4 linked regions of the Drosophila melanogaster genome follow. Changing the gene in region 2 together with the main gene of any one other region gives a genetic interaction. Each region holds a gene or a part of one and is shown on either strand. Other genes may lie near its edges.

What was found.
Region 1: of foxo (region 2) and Pten, changing one suppresses a phenotype caused by changing the other (phenotypic suppression), as found in Drosophila melanogaster (2 studies listed by BioGRID).
Region 3: of foxo (region 2) and grim, changing one enhances a phenotype caused by changing the other (phenotypic enhancement), as found in Drosophila melanogaster (one study listed by BioGRID).
Region 4: of foxo (region 2) and InR, changing one suppresses a phenotype caused by changing the other (phenotypic suppression), as found in Drosophila melanogaster (4 studies listed by BioGRID).

Annotation. Positions count from the first base shown.
Region 1 is NT_033779.5:10,255,817-10,262,811, forward strand, and holds Pten (phosphatase and tensin homolog), read right to left. Parts: upstream 5,234-6,995; 5' UTR 5,038-5,233; exon of another isoform or gene 4,769-5,037; 5' UTR 4,438-4,768; intron 4,172-4,437; exon of another isoform or gene 3,875-4,171; 5' UTR 3,760-3,874; coding exon 3,660-3,759; intron 3,598-3,659; coding exon 3,425-3,597; intron 3,358-3,424; coding exon 3,213-3,357; intron 3,100-3,212; coding exon 2,912-3,099; intron 2,841-2,911; coding exon 2,733-2,840; intron 2,582-2,732; coding exon 2,419-2,581; intron 2,358-2,418; coding exon 2,248-2,357; intron 2,178-2,247; coding exon 1,962-2,177; intron 1,901-1,961; coding exon 1,579-1,900; intron 1,307-1,578; coding exon of another isoform or gene 1,302-1,306; exon of another isoform or gene 1,094-1,301; intron 691-1,093; coding exon 671-690; coding exon of another isoform or gene 637-670; 3' UTR 503-636; downstream 1-502.
Region 2 is NT_033777.3:14,055,230-14,059,996, forward strand, and holds the start of foxo (forkhead box, sub-group O), read left to right. Parts: upstream 1-1,715; 5' UTR 1,716-1,795; exon of another isoform or gene 1,796-2,199; intron 2,200-2,511; 5' UTR 2,512-2,878; intron 2,879-4,767. UniProt on the Drosophila melanogaster protein: Transcription factor involved in the regulation of the insulin signaling pathway. Consistently activates both the downstream target Thor\d4EBP and the feedback control target InR.
Region 3 is NT_037436.4:18,302,211-18,306,227, forward strand, and holds grim (grim), read right to left. Parts: upstream 2,208-4,017; 5' UTR 1,890-2,207; coding exon 1,473-1,889; 3' UTR 509-1,472; downstream 1-508. UniProt on the Drosophila melanogaster protein: Activator of apoptosis, independent of rpr and hid, that acts on the effector Dredd.
Region 4 is NT_033777.3:21,616,297-21,621,333, forward strand, and holds the start of InR (Insulin-like receptor), read right to left. Parts: upstream 3,026-5,037; 5' UTR 2,726-3,025; exon of another isoform or gene 2,431-2,725; intron 1-2,430. UniProt on the Drosophila melanogaster protein: Has a ligand-stimulated tyrosine-protein kinase activity. Binds 3 insulin-like peptide ligands.

The sequences.
Region 1 (6,995 bases), on a different chromosome or scaffold from region 2:
TTTAAAATTAGATGTCGACGTTAAGATGCGAAATTCTGACCGCCCAGTTTACGTCAATTTAACACAATAATATATGCCCGTCAAGATAGCGTCAATTTGGACAACATTTTTGTGTTGGGTTTATTGGAACTCGGAAGTGGAACATATGTTAGGGGAATTATGGGAAAAAGAGTAAGAAAAATAACTGGTAGCACTTAACGTAGAAACTGGAATAATCATACTTTGAATATTTATTATTAATCTGATAATTACCTTTGTGAATCCTGTATGCTTTGCACAACAATTGGCAAATTTCAAGAACCTCTTATTATTTATTTATCTTAGCTATTGCCTCATTTGAAACTATTAGTTAAATTCCAATAAAATATGAGATATCCATTTAATCGCTGCACTTTTCGTGTCGAAAACTAGTTTCGAGATCAAAACTATAAATTTAAGTATTTTTTTCTAAACGTCAATTATTTCTCCCCCCTTACTTTAGACAAAAACCCAAAGTTCGAATGAAATCTACAATACAAAATGTACATGAGTTTATTTAAAATAATTGTTAAAACTACTTAAATAAATATCATACAGTATATTTACAAATTCGAATAGATTAGCCAATTACTTAGCAATTTTAATTACTTTGCTAAATCACCAAGAATTATAAGTCCGTAATAAGCATTGATTACAGGTATGTTGATTCACCTGGAAATAAAGAAAAATATTCATTTATTAGTTTAGATTTTTTTGCTCAAACAAGCTTAATGAATTTATTAACTAAAACTCAACGAGAATACGATAAAAATCAAAATAGCATGAATGAATTAAAAGCAGAAGACTTTTGATGATGATGAAACACACAAAAGACACATTCTGCTTCAGGATATTTAGTTTTCAACAGCAACAGTGAAATAGTCGAATTAGTCGAAGTTCGACAGTTCGGTGCTAGTTTTGTTAAATGAATTGAGTAGAAGGACAATGGCAGTGCCCAGAGTCACATACTTATGAAGCGGTGAGGGATGTGTGATGAAAATCGATGCGGATACTGATTAAGGATTGCCGGTTAGTTGACCATTCGAGCCGCAGGCATGGGCTCCCACTCACTCACCTATGTACATTAAATTCTAAACAGATGTGCAGAGCGCAGCTGTAATCGATCGTTTCCCCGTGAAAGGAAGTGGATCTGTGTAAGCCTGTCTCTGCTAGTATACTCGTAAAAGTCTTGGGGACATATAAATCCAGTTCTGGTGGCTTCGTTTTATACATCAAAATTAAGAGATCGTTCAGCCAGAAGTCTTTTAAATCGTCTCGGGTGATTATTCTGGCGAATTCAATAAGTCAATAAGAATATAAATGTGTGGACGATAGCATATGTCGATAAAGGCTATCTCTTTTAACAAATCTTAATTTGAATACTCATACAATACAATTAATTACAAAATCAAACCGATAATGGTCCAGAAATCAATTGAATCGAAACTCTTAGTATTAAATAAATGTGAAATTAGAACAATTGTTCGGTATTACTCGATTAAAACGGATAGATTTTTAGTGAGATCTGGTCATTGAGAGTATAGTGTGCAGCAAACTCACCGGATTCCCAATCTTCCTCGCCATCTTCGGTACCACAGTTGAATTTTGGAGAGGATTGTTTACATGTGATGTATGAATTGTAATTGATGTTCTTATTTTCGTTTATACTTCGAGTGTCAGAGGTGATATGAACTTCACTATTCTGCCATTTGATTAAATCAGTTTTCTTAATGGACGGTTGATTAAATATATGATTTCGTTTTATTTCCTCTTTTGTGGAATCATTCAAGCTTGGTAAAAGAGTTTTGCTATTAGGCTGTTTGCGTTTGCACGCAGTCGAAGTATTTTTTGAATTGGTTGATGTGTCGTATTGAATTTTAGTCTACGAATATTAGATTTATAGATTAAGCATATTGATCGGCGCAAAACGTGTTTTCACTTACAACTATATCCTTATGATCCAACGTTTCTATTGTTTGACTTTTCGTTGTATTATCATTGACGATCGCAGTTAAGACTTTTTTTTCGGCATAGCAGTTTGGAGACAAACTGTCATAGTCTGATCTTTCGAAATTTAAAACATTTTCGTTTCTCTCTTTTTCGGACGCTTCAGCTTGAACATCATTGCTAAAATTCTCTGCCTCAAAAACGATTGAAATCTGAAAAGAGAGCAAGCACATTTATTTGGTAATTTCGCAGCATCTATTAAAATGCTTCGAAATATCCTACCTTGAATTCTTCTGAAAATCTTTTATGTTCACTGTCTTTATGTACATCATCGATTTCTGATTTGCTTAAAGTGTGTATATATTTGTTAACTGTTCCATCGGACTCGCAAGCTAAAGAGAATGTTTAATTAAATCGTTTATTTAATGCATGTGCGATATTAAGTATACTTACGTGAATAGTTTCGTACAAAAAACGTATTTAGCCAAAAGTGACAAATGATTTTATCTGGGGATTTTTTTGTGAGTTCAAATTTTACATCGCCGGAAACTGGTATTGATGGTTTAATGGTCAAAACAAATGATTTTTGAAAATCAATCGGCAAGGTTTTCAGTCTCTGCAATTATAAAAAAAAGAAGAATGTTACTGCTGGTTAGAAAGGTATTCGAAAAGGAACACTTTACTGCACTGAAATCGTGTGAAATATACATTTTTAAAATGCTGTCTATAGTCTATCAATGATGTATCTATATACTTTATATACTTACATCTGGCTTTGCATTTTCTGTGGCTGAGTCGTGTAATACAGATATTGAACATTCTACCATGCCTAAGTTTTGCACACAACTGGACTCCGAGAAGCGTATTTCACATACCTGAGATACAAAAAATGCATATTTAGATTTTGTACGGCGCTGAATGTGGCGCTGCTGCTGGAAATACTCACGTTAAGGCTTACTTTCGAATATGGAACACTTGAACAAACTAGTTTGGAAAAATACTGAACATATCGACGCTGAGATGGGATTGTCACACCTTTTCGGTCCTTTGTACGCTTCTCATCATACCACGCTAATGCCTCGTCGGCGGATTTTTTAATTCCACTGAACACTAAATATGCGCAGATCATGGTACCTGAAATGAAAAAAAACTGGGTTAGTTTTTTAGCCCTACAAATATCGAAACAAGATCATAGTGTGCCATGATATTTATGAACTTTCGCACAAAATGTTGAACACATTTCCTACCGGTTCTGCCCTTTCCAGCTTTACAGTGCACGGCTACAACATTGGACGAATCTTCCTTGAGCCACATATCAACATCACTGCAAAATCGTTGTATTAACTCAATCGTTGGAGGGTTATGATCATCGAACGGATAAACAGCTACTCTCTGTAATGCGAAATAGTATATTTTACATATTTTACGCCGACAAATAGAAAAAGTTCAACAAAATTACCCCGCGAAATTTAGCAACGTCGTAACTACGCTCCGAGCATAGGTTATAGATTTTGTAATGCTGGGCATGATTCTCTTCCAATAGCTTAAAGACATCTTCCAGACGGTTTCTGAATAGGCCCTCTAGTTTATCCGGTGCTGGATAGCCCATGGCAATTATGTTATCATTAATGTCTGTGGGTAAATAGATAATTTAATTTAATATTCCAATGATTGCGGTTGATTCAATAACTTACATGTTAAATCCAAATCGTATCCTTTTTCTTTGTATCGTATACGTTTTTTACTCACTACATTGCGTATCACGTTGGACATTAACGAAATAGTGTTGGCCATATTTTTAAGGTTTAAAGACTTGTCTTTTTTATTTAAATTAGATTAGCTGCATCCATTCAAATGTATTTGGGAACCAGTGCTTGTCTTCTATTTACTCCATTGCAAAGTGTACGTTCTGAAAGGAATGTAAAGCATATTAATTAATATGCATATGATTCTAACTAATCTGTTTATTTTCCACAGCAAGTTAGAAAAGTATTGACTCAATTCAGCTTAGTTTTCTACTGCGAATTCAAACCTAAATCCTTTAACAGCAGACAAGTTTCTAATATGGTCAATAGAAACTGCTTAATTATACTGTGCCAAGGCATTCTAAAGGGATATATGGAACTAATATAATGGGCTTGTTTTCTCCCGATCCACTTAGGTTGTTCTATATAAACTAATACTTCTTACTCGGCTAAGATATATTCCTGTTTGCAGTTCTTGCTTGGATACATATTTAAGCACGTACATACACATACAGACAGAGGTGCACTCTCTATAGGAATAGTTCCCTACTTGTTTTCCCAGGAACAGGTAAAGAGTTAACTTCAGTTCGGTTTATATATCCACAAATATCCTTAGCACAAACATGCACACACTCACACACACTCGCACATGCACACGCACATATGTACATACACACACACACACACACAGGCAGGCATTTGCGGCACACACGTGAAACATACTTACATGTATCGGCATATTATCAAAGATAAACAATATAACAATCTTCCGCTTGGCATAATACATTCAGATTGGTTGTCAAATGGTCCTGGTTTTAATTGTAACTGGCTAACAGAACAGAGTTCTTTTATTGAAGCCCAACGCACGGCGATTTCGATACGAATTCGAGCAATTAAATGGGTTCGTTGGCTGAGGGGGCGATTTTCGAGGGGTGAAAATCAAAATCAAAATCCGTTTTAGAAACACCGAGCAGTAATTTCGAATTACTTAACATAGCGACTGATTTGGCAACTGTTTTTTGTTTTATCTCGCCGAGTAGACACACTTTTTTGACAAACTGTTTGCGAATGGTGGTATGTATTGTAGTTAGAGCACATATGCATGTACAGAAATATGCAGATATGGATGATGGGCATGTGCACATATATGCACCGATTTTTGTGCATTTATGTACATATTTGTTTAAACAAAAACATATTTACAATTCCACAGACATTTTACACATTTACACTATCAGCACCACACGAATATATGTGCCCACTGTTTAATACATATGTATGTATGTGCATATGGGTATGTTTAAGTCAATAAGCTAAATGTTCCAACCGAGCAGGTTCTGGCTACTGCATTTCAAAAAGCTATCACATGTTTTGCTCTAAGCCACGAAATTTCAAATAAAACTTTTCAATTATGTGTAAAAGTTAAACAGTAGCGCTCATGCTCTATTAAATGTATTATTAATTTATCAAGCGTGAGATCCACAGGGTGTTTACGGCGAGCGATACCACCACAAGATTTGAGAAAATGTACATCCAGTGCTATCGACGTGCGTGGTGCCCTCTCGATTAAATTGTGTATGCAAAAACTATCGATGGGTCATCGATACAACCATTTATTTTTTAGCACTGCGGTTTTAAACAATATGTAATTATCTATGCATTTATTTTAATCTTATTAAACAACACACATATAACTTCATGCTACCAAAAACATGACTACCAACACATCTTTTACTCGAGTTCTACCCACGAAACTAATATTGCTACAGCTATTAAAAATTCCATTTCTTGCAAAACCAATATTATTTTTGGTATGCAATTTTTTAAAACGCAAACATTTTTAAGATTTACGAATACCTTTTATTTATTTTTTTTTCCAGCCATTGAAATGCTATTGAAAACTATCAGTTTGGGTAATACCATTAATGTAATCCTCTCTTTTTTTATTTACAATCGATAAAAGTGCAACAGGTTTTTTATGGGTATTCGATTATTTTGACATAAATATGATTGGAATTTAAAGTTCCTTTATTCAAAAGCAAAACCTGCTATCTGAATAATTTAAAATTTTAAAAAATTTTCAAAACTTTAAAAATTACACTCGTATCTTAAGGCTAGTTGGTTTCCGCAAAATGAATTCTTGGTACCACTTAATTCTCAACTGTTGACTTTAATTCGTAACTTGAATAAATCAAAATAGGCCAATCATCAGTAAATGTTATTGAAGCAAAAAGGACTCGAAGACGAAGAAATAAAAACAAGTGTTTTGCCGTGTTAACCAATTTCTCATTTATTTGTCTCGCTTTTTATTTGTTTAAAAAGTTTCTGCAGTCCATCGTTTAAATATTTAATAGCCCCTTGGGCTAACTAACTAATCGTCGTTATCATAAGTATTGCTTAGCTATGTTTTGAACTTTAAGCAATCTAATAAATCTGAAAGTGACGTTAAGAGATACTCCAACAAATGACCTGTTAATTTAGTTAAATGAAATAAAACATAAACATTAAAACCGATGCGCTTAATATAGTTGCTTGCAGCATTGGCTAGATTTTTGCCGTTTCGACCCAACTACAATAAGTTATAGATTTGTATAGTATTTGTCTTAATAGGTAAAAAGTTAGATCGATGGATAGTACACATGCAATATTTCTTACCAAAACGTAAAGTCAATGATTTGTTTGTAAACACTTGGCGGTTATTGCTTTTTAGGTTTTCGAGATTCAGAAAACAAAGCAGATTTTCGAAAACGCTTTCTTACCAGTTTCGGACTGCTGACTGCTTCATTTCGTAGGGTTTATTACGATGGTTATAAGAGGTTCTGTAAAAATGAACACCTACACAATTCCGAGTTCTCAAAATTCTTTAATGTTTTAGACCAATTATTTTGCGAAAGCTTTTATGTATACGAGAAACTGTTCCGCATTTCCTTTATTAAAATTGCGTACTTCTAGATTTTGGTTTGACGTTGTTCGAGTCTTAGCGTATTTTTCTTACTAGTTTTCTACGTTATAACTTAAATTTTACGTGCTTGCAATTGTCATGTTAATGGGTATTCGTTAAATAAATAATGAAGAGACGACGACTATCAGTTTTTTGTTTTTTCTTTTTTTTTTATCATTCTGTTGTTGTTGTTGATGTGGGGGAATGAGGGAATCTGTTGGACGATCGAAAACGATCGAATGCTACGATTTTAAATGTTTGAGTCTGCGTTTTACGGTCGCGCTTAAGTTATTATTTATTAATCTTTACTCATAGGCAATCCTTAAGCAACTATGAGTGGTGTT
Region 2 (4,767 bases):
TGCTATTTACATGCTCATTTAAATGGTAGTAGTGATTTATAAGCCCACTTCCAGATGGAACTTACCTATACCAACGTGTTACTTATCGTTCTTAAGCCAACTTAATAGCATTCTAAAATATATATGTATCTTTTGGCGGACTTATCTTCTTGTTGTTCTCGCATTCCAAAATCTCTATGTACATGCAAACTTTTATTGTCATAACTCGGGACTTTGCAGACTTTGAGGCCTATTTAATAGAGCTATAATCTTACAACAAAAAAAAACTAAAAGAGCTTTTTAAGCAATAAAAATATTCTGAAAAATTACAAATTAACAAAAAATTACCCAATGAAGCCTGCAAATTTGAAATCTTTAAGATCCTAGATATGCCAAGATGCACCCTAAAGTCCTTAACTCATCTCCTTGGCTCGTTTCTAATCCCCCCTCTCGAGGGATCGAGACGATCGCATCGGGTCGGTCTTTAAGTTTGGATGATCCATAAACTGTTGGTTTCTCCGTCCTCAGCGTCTAGACTTCATTAGCCGTGTAATGTTGCGGAATTTATGTGGCAGGCACATTAAAATAACACCGATACACACTCTCATGGACGCGAACGTGTGTACAAGTATAGAGATATCGGGCCTAGGCGAAAAATGAAATTAAAAAAAAAAAAAAAACTGGCACCGGGAGGGGCTTATTTTTCGGTGGTCGGGGATGCGGGGGACTTTGACCATAAAATACATGCTCCCAAAAAGCTCGCACACTGCAAGAGATGCGGGGCACTTCTGAGTCCCATATTCATATGCACAAATGTGCATTGCTGGCATTATCAGTAGAATGCAATTTCGGGAAATTTTCCATCGCATCACGAGACAATGAACGTAAGAGAGAAATGGAGCCTCAAAGAGGGAGGGAGAGAGAGAGCTTGAGTGAACGAGCGAGCGACAATCGCGAGATAACGGCTGCCTTATCAGCAATGCCGACCGCCCCATCACCCCACCCAAAACGCCCAACCACCACCCACCGCCGCCGTTCCCTTTCCTCCATCGTCGAGAATTTCGAGTTCAGAGCAGCGCGACCGAAATGAAAAGAAACAATTTAAATTCCAAATGTATAAAATAGGTAAACTATGGCTTTTATTTATTAATATTGACGGGGGCACAAAGGCGGTCACCTCAATAGTGAATAACATGTTTTTTATAATGAATACTTTTCAAATTGTTATTAATATGCAATGACGTCTTAAATGTTTCACTGCAGCTGAACTTTATTCTTTTCATTAAAACAGTCACCCGTTATTAAAAATAAATAGATTAAGTTTTATATTATTAAATTTGTAAGTATTGAAACAATTCCTTTTTTATTTTATACGAATTATCATTTAGTTGGGGTTAATATCCCTTAAAGAGAGAAATTTGTATGCTTTAAGATTTAAAATATCTATTGCATTTATAGCTATAGCTATAACTTCTCTTATTTCACGCAGAAAATACTCAAATAAAACATATCGATTTGGCATACCCCACTAATTTTTTGGCCCCAAGTGTGTGAGAGTGTGTGAGACGAAGCGCGCCACAAACATAAAAAAGCGGTGAAGTGAGCGGTTGTGGAACGTGAGTGGATGCTAAGAGCAAGCTCTCACATACGCGGACATAGGTCGCACACACACACGCACAGACCGCCTTTTTGCGCCGCCGAAACGAACACTTTTACGAAGGCGACGGCGAATCAGTTTCAGTTGTCAGTTCGCATCCAACTAGAAAGCAGTTAACGAGTAGTCTGTGTTTTTTCGCTTGCGGTTAAAAGCCACGAGGTCGTTCATCGTTCATCGTTTTCCTTTTCAACTTCAAGCAAAGCAAATATAAACCAATGCAAAAAACGCAGTGATCTTTTGAGGCCCAAATCGTTTGGGGCCGAACACCGTTGATTCTAAAACGCAAATGTAGAAACAAATCAAGAAAGTGGAAAATAAATATGTTTCGCTTTCAAAACATGTGAATGTGCCGAACTCAAAACTGAAACGTAGAAGGAACGCGTTCGTTTTTTACATACGACAATCGTATAAAATAAGAGAAAAGCTCCAAAACGTATTAAATAGCGATGCTTGGATGATCTTCGTAGCAGTCACGTTGTACATACAAATACATACATATGTACCTACTATATGGCACATAAAATACGTTACGCACACTAGTGGCGAATAAAAAGCGAATTGGAGTAAGCTCCGAAACGTGTTTATATTAAAATTTTTTACCCATTTGAACTTTAAACAACTTTTCGACTGCGCCGCACGGTTTTCATTGAATTCTCATACGAATTCCAATTAAGTGTTGTGTGTGCGTCCAATTGGCATGAATTGATGACGTGACGTGATCGCTCTCTTCGCTCTCTCCCTCTCTTTCTTCGGCACACACACATACACACACTACGCTCTTTAATCGCGCCGCTCTCTTCGCGCTCTTTTTATTTGTTTATTTTGATTGTTGTTATATATATATTCTAATTTACCGTTTTTACAATCGTCTTTAGCTTAAGCAAAACCGCCGCCCAGCAACAACAAGAAACCCATTTAATGAGTGTGTGTGTGTGTGAGCAGAAAATTATGCCAACAGAATTCTAAAAAATATATATGTATATATTTAAATAACCACTAAAAATCAAGAAATCCGCACAAGTTTCGCTCAAAACAACAACACAATCATATATACTACCCATAAAAAAAAAACAAACCCATAAAAAAGTGCAAAGCAACCAGGAAAATAAAGTAAAACAGTGCCAGTTAACAACAGCAAACGGCGATCAACAAATCCCACCGGCAAAATCAACAATTTTTTAAATCGCAATCAACAAGGAGCAACAAATTAGCCAGCTATTTCCCATTGCAAACATTTGGCGGGTAAATATTATTAACAATTACGAGTAGGTGTACTTGATTGAATGAAAAATGTCATGTTTTTTAAGTTCCTAAATTCGATTCGAATCTAATCGGCAATTGATTGAAATATTCTAAAAGTCAAATTTTGTTTCGTCACGCGATTAAAAAAGTAATTGAAGCAGTGCTTTCCTACACATCAATTAAAATTTAAATTAAATGGTATTTTATGTTGATTACAACAACATTTTTTTTAGTCGCCACAATAAAATATTCATTCTTCCGTGAAATATTTCCAATATAAATTGCTATTGCTATATTTATAAAAATAAGCTTTGATAAAAGTTAAGAGGTTTAATAGAAACTAGAGTTAGGTTCTTTTATTTATATTGGTGTTTAGAATTTTAGATAGGAAAGCTGGACTTTTTGTTGTGTTAAAGTAGTCACATCTATTGAATTTACGACCCAAATTTTAATACAACCGATAGGGAATGTGATTTATAACCTTATTCGAGTAATTCCTAGTTTCACTTTCAAGATCAAAACGACTAGAATCATAAAGTCGGTCACGTTCGGCGCTGCAGTGTCGCTCCAATAGATGATCTTTCAGTTCGTGTGGGTTTTGATTAGTCCGTTTTGGTGTGTTACTTGTCATGGGAGTGGGCAGGGGAGATCTTAATTAGAGCAGCGCTGATAATGGCTCTAAAAATAGAGCCCCAGCGCCACACTGATAGCAGAGCTTGAAGCGTGTGTCGTTTGCGTGGAGCTCATTTCTTTCGTTCTGTGTTTGTTTGCTCCCCCGATTTTCGTATGCGATCCACTAAGGTCGATTTTGTTGCCATATTTTGCCAGCGATCTCGTATACGCACCGTTTTCAGATGCTTTTGAATATTCTCTTGACATCAGTATTGACATTGAAATGTGATTAGGTTTAATTTTCATAAATGGGTTGATTCGCCACTCGGTTAGCTGTCGAAAGAGGCTTTTTTATTCCCCATTTACAGATAAGGCTTTTATCTATTCGCAATGTGCCAAGGTACAACAGCAGCTGATGGCCCAAAAAAAGTGTACATATAAGCCTATACACACATCTGTATAGTCGTCCTATGTGCTTGCGATTGTGACTTTTATCATATCTTGAGTGTTTGCTAGCCACATTGGTGGAACGTGCCAGTTGATAACAAGAAAGTGTGCGAAAGTTTGTCTAAAAAGCTGTAATTGAAGCAGGGAAACCGGGAAGTCAATTAATTTTGAGAGACAACATTAAACGTATTCTTCGTATTCTAGTATTCTTCAAGAATTAGTAAAGCTCTTACTAATAAGCTCGTTTGAGAATGACGATAAGTTATATCGATAATGTCGATTTTACCGATAACCGAAAAACGTTAGTAATGGAAATTTAATGATCATTAAATGAGAGCCACTACATATTGTTTTGTTTAGAAAGATATAGTCGGAATACCAGTAGTTATTTCTTAGTATTATTTTGTGATTTTTAAATATTCTACTCAGATGTGTAGAACTTTTTTTCGAACGCTTCTTTTTGCTTAATTTATTTCGTTTTTCGCGCCGACCCCAAAAACGTTAGTAATGCAAATCGATTGCGTTTGCGAAGTCAGATGATCCCATCCATGATTTCCATGCGTCAGTTGTCCCAGCTGTCAATCGAAGATCGCCGTTTGGGGGCTCTACGTTCCTGGTTGACTTCGCCATCGGTCGAGTGGAATCGAATCGTTCGTTTGCTCTTTAATTATTGTAATGAATTCAATAAACATTGCAGGGCCTCTGCCGTTCATTTGCATTTGCGTTCGCACTCGCTGCATTCTGAACTATTGCACATTGCCTGGTCGGGCCTCTCCTTCTCTATATAGCGATATATATGTATATGTATATGTATATATAAATATATAGAA
Region 3 (4,017 bases), on a different chromosome or scaffold from region 2:
TTGCTTTTTAACCCTTTTGGGTGGAGTGTGCCTGGCATGACACGACGGGAAAATTCTCTGTCTGCCCTTAACCAAAAATGTGTTTTCCCTTTTAAGGTGACATATTGGTTTTGACGATAGCGATCGCTAAATGTTTGCTTACTCCGCCTTTTCCTGGCAGGACGGTTATCCTTTGCCATTTCATTGCCCAAAATGGAATACAAAGGCTTAATTCATAAGCGGTTATTAAAAGAGTGTATTAAACAAAATTTCATATTATTTTGACGTATTTTTTTATAAAAACTTTGGTGAAACAAATAAATATTCTTTTGAATTTATTTTAAAAACGTTTTAGTTTATTTTTAAAATATTTTAAAAACGCTTCGAATAATTTTTCAAAAACATTTTAATAGAGTTCTACACCTCCGAAATAAAAGGTAATTAAATATATATATCTCGGCAATGGTGTTGGTAAAATTCTTTATGTTTTTCTGAAAAGGGACAATAATAATCGTTCAAAGTATTTTTTAATTTTTTATAAAATTGTATTTATTTTTTGCTTGTTTGTCTTATAAAAATTTTAATTTCTTACAAATGCTATCTTTACATGTGATTAATTTCAATATTTCTTGTTTAATTTGCAATGCCAAAATTAAAATAATATGTTTTGAATTTTGCTAAAATCAATAATAATGATAAGATACATTTCAAATTTTGTTATTCTTGATTATTCGTATCAAAATTGCTTAAATGTTTGTTGTTGTTTTGTTTAATTTTTGTTAAAATGTATTCTGTTCGGCGGTTCTTGTATTCTATTTTTTGTAGACGTTTTGTATTTTCTCTCTTTGTTGTAAACATATAAAATTTGCTGTTTGCTTAAAATCTATTTTGTACAATTGAGTTGTTGTCTTTTGTTATTCTTGTTGCTGCGGTTGCATCTTTGTTTTGTTGTTGGTTCTGTATTGTAGTTCTGTAATATTAGTTTACGATTTATATTTGTAAGTAGTTGAAATGTAGTTGAAGTAGTTGAAGTAGAAAATTTGACAATTATTTGTTAGTTGAGTACGATACTTGTGGTTTTGCTCATACGTATAGACACTAATAAGGTTTATGACAATTTTACACATTTCTCTTTATGCTCTCTAAATGTTGTTAAGTATGTTTATGTATTTGAACCAACCGGGAAACCTTTGCTTGCAAAATTAAACATTTTTTCAAAACTTATATCGGAAAATTTGACATCCAAAAAAGTAACAAACAACCAAAATCACTTTAAGCAAGTCGATGACAAATTTTGAATTTTCTCTCTCTCAAAAATAGTTTAAAAATAGTTTTCTTATTTTGTTGTGGAAATATCCCATGTTTTACAAAACTCGTTCCTCCTCATGTGTCCATACCCAAAAAAGAAATCACAATGCGCTTTGATTGAGCCTGCCTTTCCCAGAAAATCCCAAAGATTTTCTCTCCACCAGGATGAAATATGGAAACCAAATTTAGTTCTCCTTGGAGGTGGCATCAGTCACGTCGTCCTCATCGTTGTTCTGACCGCCGCTGCTGATCTCGAAGGATATCTGAATGACCGTCGGTTGACGCTGGCTCGAACTGTAGCTGTAGATTCGCAGAGCGTAGCAGAAGATCTGGGCCAAAAGATCCCAGCATCCAAACTCCGACATGGTCATCGATCCCTGTTGACTTCCCAGCGGCACGGAAATATTGGCACGGAATTGTGGGCGCTGTTGCTGATGATGATGTCGCTGCTGCTGCTGCTGTTGTTGCGATTGTTGCTGCTGCTGCGATGGTGCAGCAGCTGTTGCAGTTGTCCTTGGACTCGCTGCTGTCTGCTGGCCGTTTTGCTGATAGCTTCTGGCCAACAATTGGGCCTGGTCGGGTATGAAATAGGCGATGGCCATGGCGGTATTTAATTTAATACAAAATGTGATTTTACAAAACGTATGAATCTTTAAAAAAATATATAACTTTAGTGTAGCATATATTTTTAATGTTTGATTTCAATATCGCTGAGGAATAATATATTCCATTCACTGCTTGCACTTTAAGTCTTGTAAGTCTTTATGTTTCGTATCGAGCACTTGGAAAATTTTTCTGACTCATTTGGCGGGAAAACGAACGAGGAAACTTGTCGCTTTTTGACGAACTTTCAACTGCGCTTTTCGCTTCCGCTTGTTATTCAATGTTCTCTCGTCGAGGTTTCAGAGTGGACTGACTGTAAATATCCTTGCTGCAGTCACATTTATAAAATAGCTCTCTTTGTACTTTCCTATAGGAAGCGAGTTCCTCTCTCGCAGTGAATGTCACCCTCCCAATTTCCACCACCCCCCGGGAGTTTGTGTGTATTGTGTGTGTGCTTTGTTTATGCCAACAACCAACCAATTGAACCACCAACCACAGGAACCCACACCACTGACAATGTGCCACCACCACCGCCAGTTTACCACCCCAAAGACACGGCTGCCTTTGTTACCTTTACTTCGGAACTAGAAAGGGGGTGGGAAAGTGGCTGAGAAGCGGTGAGAGACTCGGGAAATGAGAGCGGAATTGGGGAAAATCATTTCACGTAAGAGTGCTACGTCAAATAAAACGTAAGCTCTTTGGGATTTCGTTGTTCGAAGCGCGGCATCGAATTCATTTCGAATTTCAGGGGTTAACTTGGGCGTACTTGCTCTAGCTGAGTCTAGCAATTTTGAGGGGAAGTTTGGTCGTCGTATGCTCATTTCGAATTTCGAACTTGGATTTCACTACGGATGAATCAACAATTGTTTGTTATGACATTTTGGTTCGCATAGAAACTGATTTTTGGTGATTAAATGCAATTTAATCTTGCTTATTGTACCTATTATTAGTATAATTATTATTTTCAATATTCATTAATGGCAAACAAATTTATACCAGGGACCAACGAGATCTTTTCTTACATTGTATCACTTTGGGTTATTTATAGTATACTTCTTTACATACTTAATATATTTCAAAACAGCGGAGTCTCCTTCACCTAAAATCTCTTGGAACCACTAACCCGCTTTCAAGTTAAGCATCCTTCAACTCAAAAAGCTTGCACGGCAAATCTTTGATGCGAAAACCTTGCGTAATGGTCCTTGAAGATTCCCCCTATTGCAGCCTTAAACTTGACCATAACAAAGGGCACCCAAATGGATTGACCTTCAAGCTAACGCGAATCCAGCTCCCTCAAACATTATGCTGACGACAATTTCAACCTTGGAAAATGTTTGATCCCAGCTCCCCCATTTTCCGTTAGCTGCAGCTCATCCATTATGATAAGCTGTTCCCGGATAGTTGCAAAGTCAAGAAAGCAGTGGCTGTGGTAGAGGGGTATGAAGAAAGTATACTTATGCAAAACTGATTATAAGAAAAATTGAGAATAATTTTTGGGTATAATTTCATGAAAAAATAAATTTTATCAATAATGTAAATTTATTGAATTTGTTTTATATAATTTATTTACAATCATGATGAATTAAAATCTTACATATGGAATAAATCATAATAACGATTTTTTTTAATTAGACAAGTATATTGTATTATCTCCTCCTCTGTCCCAAATGTTCAATAAATGTCATTTAACACTTTAACATTCCAGAAAAGGACTTCCAGGGAGCGGAAAGCATAAAGCCAATTGAGCTTATTTCCTCCCCCTATGTAACATTTTTGCTGAGGGAGCTCCAACAAGGCCATCGCCAAGGCCAAGTCCGCCACTTGTGGGTGATGTTCCACAAGTCTCCTACCGGCAAAAGCTTTTTATTTCTCACCCAACTGGCTTCAAGGTCGTGCCGGCCGGCATTTCCACCCACATTCAGCTTTTCCTCTTCATTTTTGTGCGTGCGACCTTGACAATGAAATTCGTTTAGGGAGCACAGCTCCTCCAAAGAAAGTGTGGGTGAGCTTTTCCTGACACAGTTGACAGCACGTGGTCGTTATATTCTGGCATATATATAAATGTCAAGCTCAAGGTCGCTGGGTATCGATTTGCCGAACTTGGAGGGTCTGTATTACTTACCATAA
Region 4 (5,037 bases), 7.6 Mb from region 2:
GTGAATGTGTGTGTGTGTGTGCTGTTTCGCAGCGAAAAAGGTCAATGACACCTGTCTGTTTGTCTCGCTCGGCTCACACACACACACATACAGGCTTATCACCGGCCACTCTCTTTCGGCAATCGTGCCCTCTCTTTCTGGCCTGCGCGCAGCTACGTTTAGACATGTGGTCAGAGCATTTTTTTTGTTTTTTCTCGCTTTAAAAGGCATTCGTGTTGGTGGCGGCATGTGTGTTTTTGTTGTTCGTTTCGGCACTGTTAATTAGTGTGGCCAAATTATGCGCCAAAGCCGCCAACAACTCGATGGTCATACGTCATCAACAATAGCCGGACAAACAATTTCCGGTTTTTAGCCACACCATTAAAAAGCCAATATCAGAAATAACATGCACAAAAATAAAATAATAAAAATACAGAGAAACAAAAGCAGGCGCAACAACAACAAACTTGGCCCGGGTTCCGTCATTGCCTCATCCTCTATAGATCTCTTCTGTTCTTCTGCTTTATTTTGGTTCTATTTCAGCAATTTGTTATTGCGGCGACTTATTTTTGTCGCAGCACGCACACACACTCGCACTTATGCTCGCACACACACACACACACACACAAATGCACAGAGAGCAGGCAGGCAAACTCGATTTAAAAATAAATAAATTACGCACAAATACAAATACATTGGCCAACATTCTTCGGGCCTCGTCAAAAATATAGCATGATTAATACAAAAATGCGCAATTCTCTGGTGTTTTTTTTTTCTACTTCGGTTTTGCCTGTTGTTTTAACCCAACCTCCCAATTTTTTATGGCATTTCTCTCTTATTATACAATAATAACGCGAATATAATAAGAGCACAGCAAGTGGGCAGTTCAACGGCAACGCAAATAGCAACAACAAGCGCAGCGGCACGCCAATTAGTGCTTATGCTTTTTAATTAGCAAGCGGACCCATCCCCACATTTCCCCATTTTCCACCTTCCCGCCCACAAAACCACTTACCCGTAATATCTCCACGCCAGTTATTTGGGAAATATCTTCCCATTTATCACTATTTCAGTACACCCACAGACCCCCGATCTATTGATCTGCTTCCGTTGCGGATACAACACAAAATCAAAAGCCCGTAAATCGTGGGTGTATCTTTATCTCGTTCTTTTAAAGGGATATCCCACTTTTAATGTCAACTTAAGTCATTAAAGTCTCAACCTGCTTAAGTTGGCATTAAATAATTAATGTTTATAAAATGAAAACATTGTAGAAGCTCCAAACGTTTTTACAAAGTCTCCATTAAACTAAATTTAATGGATATCTTATACATATACCTTAAAGATAAAAAGAAACCCGATTTATAAGGTCACAGTTTGAGCAAATAGTTTGATCAACTTTTTGGGATTTGTTTTAGCAAGTGAGAGCTTTAAAATTGTACTGGATATATTTGGCTGGTTTACTCAGCATTTTGGTCACTCTAATTACGAGCTCCAAAATAAAATAAAAAACAGCACTGTCATGACTTTTTGACAACCGCTGAAAGTGTGGTGTCCACCATACATTAAAAAACAACACATTTTCCAAAGTATAACTTTAGAATTATAAAGGTTTGAAAATCATGACAAGTCAACAGGTGAGTTCAATTTTATTTTTGAAATATTAAATAAAAAATTGAGTTTTGCAGGTGGTCCTGAAGAGGGGGTGAGAGCAACATACATATTAAAGCGCCTTTTAAGGAAAAATGTATGGGTGTTTAATGGAAGTCGACTAAGACACTTCTTTGAAGTTTATTGTTTTGTTTTTTTTAATAATTTATACTAATTCTATAAATATTTAATAAAATTCTATTGAATAGCTCTTATTGACGCTTGTATGATTAATTTTAAAACTTACCAAGGACAATAAGGAGACAGTCTTTAGCAATAGTACTAAGTAATTTCATGAAATACTATTTTTAATAATAATGTTAGTTACTCTTTTAGTGCTGGCTTAATTTAATGCAATGGAAAACTTATCTGTACCACTTTTCAAAATGCGTGCAACAATAAAAAATAAACCAGCACAACAACAACAACAATAATAAAACAAAAACCGGCAGCAATCGAAATTCTTTCATTTCTTTTCCGCCTCTCTTCGCGCAGCCGCTCTCCGCACGACAGAGAGACAGAGAGAGAGAGAAAAAGAGAACAATGTTGGCTGCGCCGCTCATTCACAAAACGGAGACGTAAAGCGGTGTGCGAAGAAGAAGAACAACAACAGCCCAAGATATGATAGATATGGAACAACAACAAAAGGAACAAGAGGAACCGGGCGGAGAGAGGAGGAGGAGGAGAGCAAAAACAACTTGGCATAAATTGCTGCTGCGTAGTAATTTCACGAGTATTTTCCTAGTTACGTTCTCACTACTATTATTCATTTTATTATTATTTGTTGTTTTTGTTACATACCCCTTTGCAACGGTTTTGTTGTCGTGCATTGTTGATCTAGTTGTTGTTGTGTCACCTAATTTTTGATTTTTATTTCTATTTGTATTTTATTTTGGTATCGATTTCAAAATAGAACGACGCACTTTCCCAGACGCAGGCGTAATTAAATTTTCTTATGTTTTATTCGCGTGCTTTCTTTTTGCGCCGCAACTTCACAACATGCTGTGTATATATAAATAATAGGAGAGCGCGCGTGTGTGTGTGTATGTGTGTGTACACAAATTTTATTTATTTATTTACCGTGAATTTTACTCACACACCCGGACAAGCCGCACTCTCGCCAGCACACGAGAATCGCCCGCACTTGTATTTCGTGGAATTTCTTTAATTCGAACTCCACCGACCTCGCACTATTGCTCTGTATTTTGTATTTTCGCACTTTTCATTCACGAAATGCTGGGGCACATAATTTCGCCTTGCACAGTATTAGGTATCGGCAATTCACTGTGGCCTCTATTTGACAGCGATGATTTTCCGCACGACGAACACACTCACAATTCCAATTCACGGCGACCGCGGCAACGATCTCAACGTTTCGAAATCGCGTGAAACACTGCCAGCCGTTACCCTTGTTGTATACGCGATTTTCGGTTTAGCGCGTTTTCCAACTCTGTTCGGTCGTTTTCGAACTCTGTCTTTTGACCGCTTACAGAACTCTGTTAGTGCCGGCTGTTACACTAGCGCGCCACCTATAGCAGAGCTCTTCGTTTACCAACACGCCATGAAGCCCAATACTGAATCCTCGCGCACTAAAAACGGATATTCCATTTGTAAAAACTTTTATATGAGCATAATGTCATTAGCAAATATTACATTCTGGATCACTTTTTTTTCGAAAAATTTAGAAAATATAATAAAATAATGGCGCTATTATTGTGTCGATTTCTTAATGACATAGGAAATATTTTTATGTAATCATTGTCCAAGAGCATCTACTTTCCATGCAATCAAGCATAATCATTTCCTTGAACTCCCCGCCTAGGTGATAAATACTAACTAACTACAAATACTAGGAGCTGCTGTAAAACCAATTTAAACCAATTTTAAATATTTCGCTAGGATCTGCTTTTTGGGGTTTGGCTTTTAGAAACGCAAGTTTCAAGTTTAAAGATAGTGCGCCATACTTGAATATCGTAAATTGCAAGCAGTGCTACGTTTTACTGCTTTCCGAGTTGGCGGGCGCATTAAAATGCACTGCTTTCCCAGTTGGCGGGCGTTTTAAAACATGCAGACAAGTCTGCTAACTACTCATGGGTAAAATGATCAAAATCCAAGGAATGGATCACATATTTAAAATTCAACTTGGTGTTTAAAAAAATCTTTGAAAAGATGCATAAAACAGTACAGTCTTTATACTTTATTAAAAATAATTAATATAAAAAATAATATTTACCAAAAACATTCAAATGATGATTCAAAATTGCTTAGTTAAAAAAGAAGTTAGCAAAAAACACTTCTTGTGACCATGGCAAACTTCACCTTATTTAAATTCGGCTTGAAAAACTTAAATATTCAGTTTAATTGAAACAGTAGACATTCGGTTTTAAAAATTTATTTTGTTTATTTTAAAGTTTCCTTCGTTTTTGTAATATTTATTTTCTCTTTTTTTCATGTGTTTGTTTTTGGAAAGAAAGAAAAGTACCTAACAAGTGTGTTTTCTCTTATAAAAATTAAACGTACAATTATACAGTGGTTTCGGCTTGTTGCGGTTCTCCTTCGTTTATTTATTGATTTTTTTTTACAATTGTATGATTTGCATTTGTTTGTTGCTTTTATCTATCGTTTAGTTAAATATATAACTACTAGGAGAGAGTTTAAATAATTATTTATGTACTTGTAGTTGACTCTGTTAAGTGGTTGGTTGTTTGTTTTGTGGGATGATTTGGCTTCTATGAATAAACTGCTATTGGGCCCATGTGTGTGTTTACAGTTTAAATTTTATAACAATAACAAATTATGATACATAGTTATAGCTTTAATAATATTATAATTAAAAATCAATCGATAAATCCAAGCAAATGAAGAGAAGAGGATTCTGTTGCATGCGTCACTAAAACAGGAACCAAAGCCATCTTGTTGGGGGCCCAGGAGTGTTCTCTTCCTCTTCTACTACTGCTCCATATTAATTTGAAATGTCTTCGATATATTTTACAATTTGAAATTGATTTTCTTTTTATTGTTTAATGTTGATTGGCTTTACAACTATTTTGTTTTATAATTTAAAATTATATAAGTGTGTGTGTGTGTGTGTGTGTTGGTATTATTTTTACTAATTTACAGACAGTTCTAGCCCAAAAAGTTGTTTGATAAGAGGGAAGTATTCGCATTTTTTGTGTGTTATCCAATCGTTTAAATAGTATTCCTGATTCTTTTTGCTTTCTTTTAAAGGCTAAAATTAAAATTTGCTTATAAAATGTGGCTCTTCTTGCTACGACTTCTCCCTATTTCTCTCGTGAGGCTGAGTTTTTGTAAAGTAGATTTTGTGTTTTCGTTTTGTTTCGCTTAAATTAGTTTGGGTTATAAATTTAAATGTATATATTTTTACGCTTAAAATTGTACACACAACTT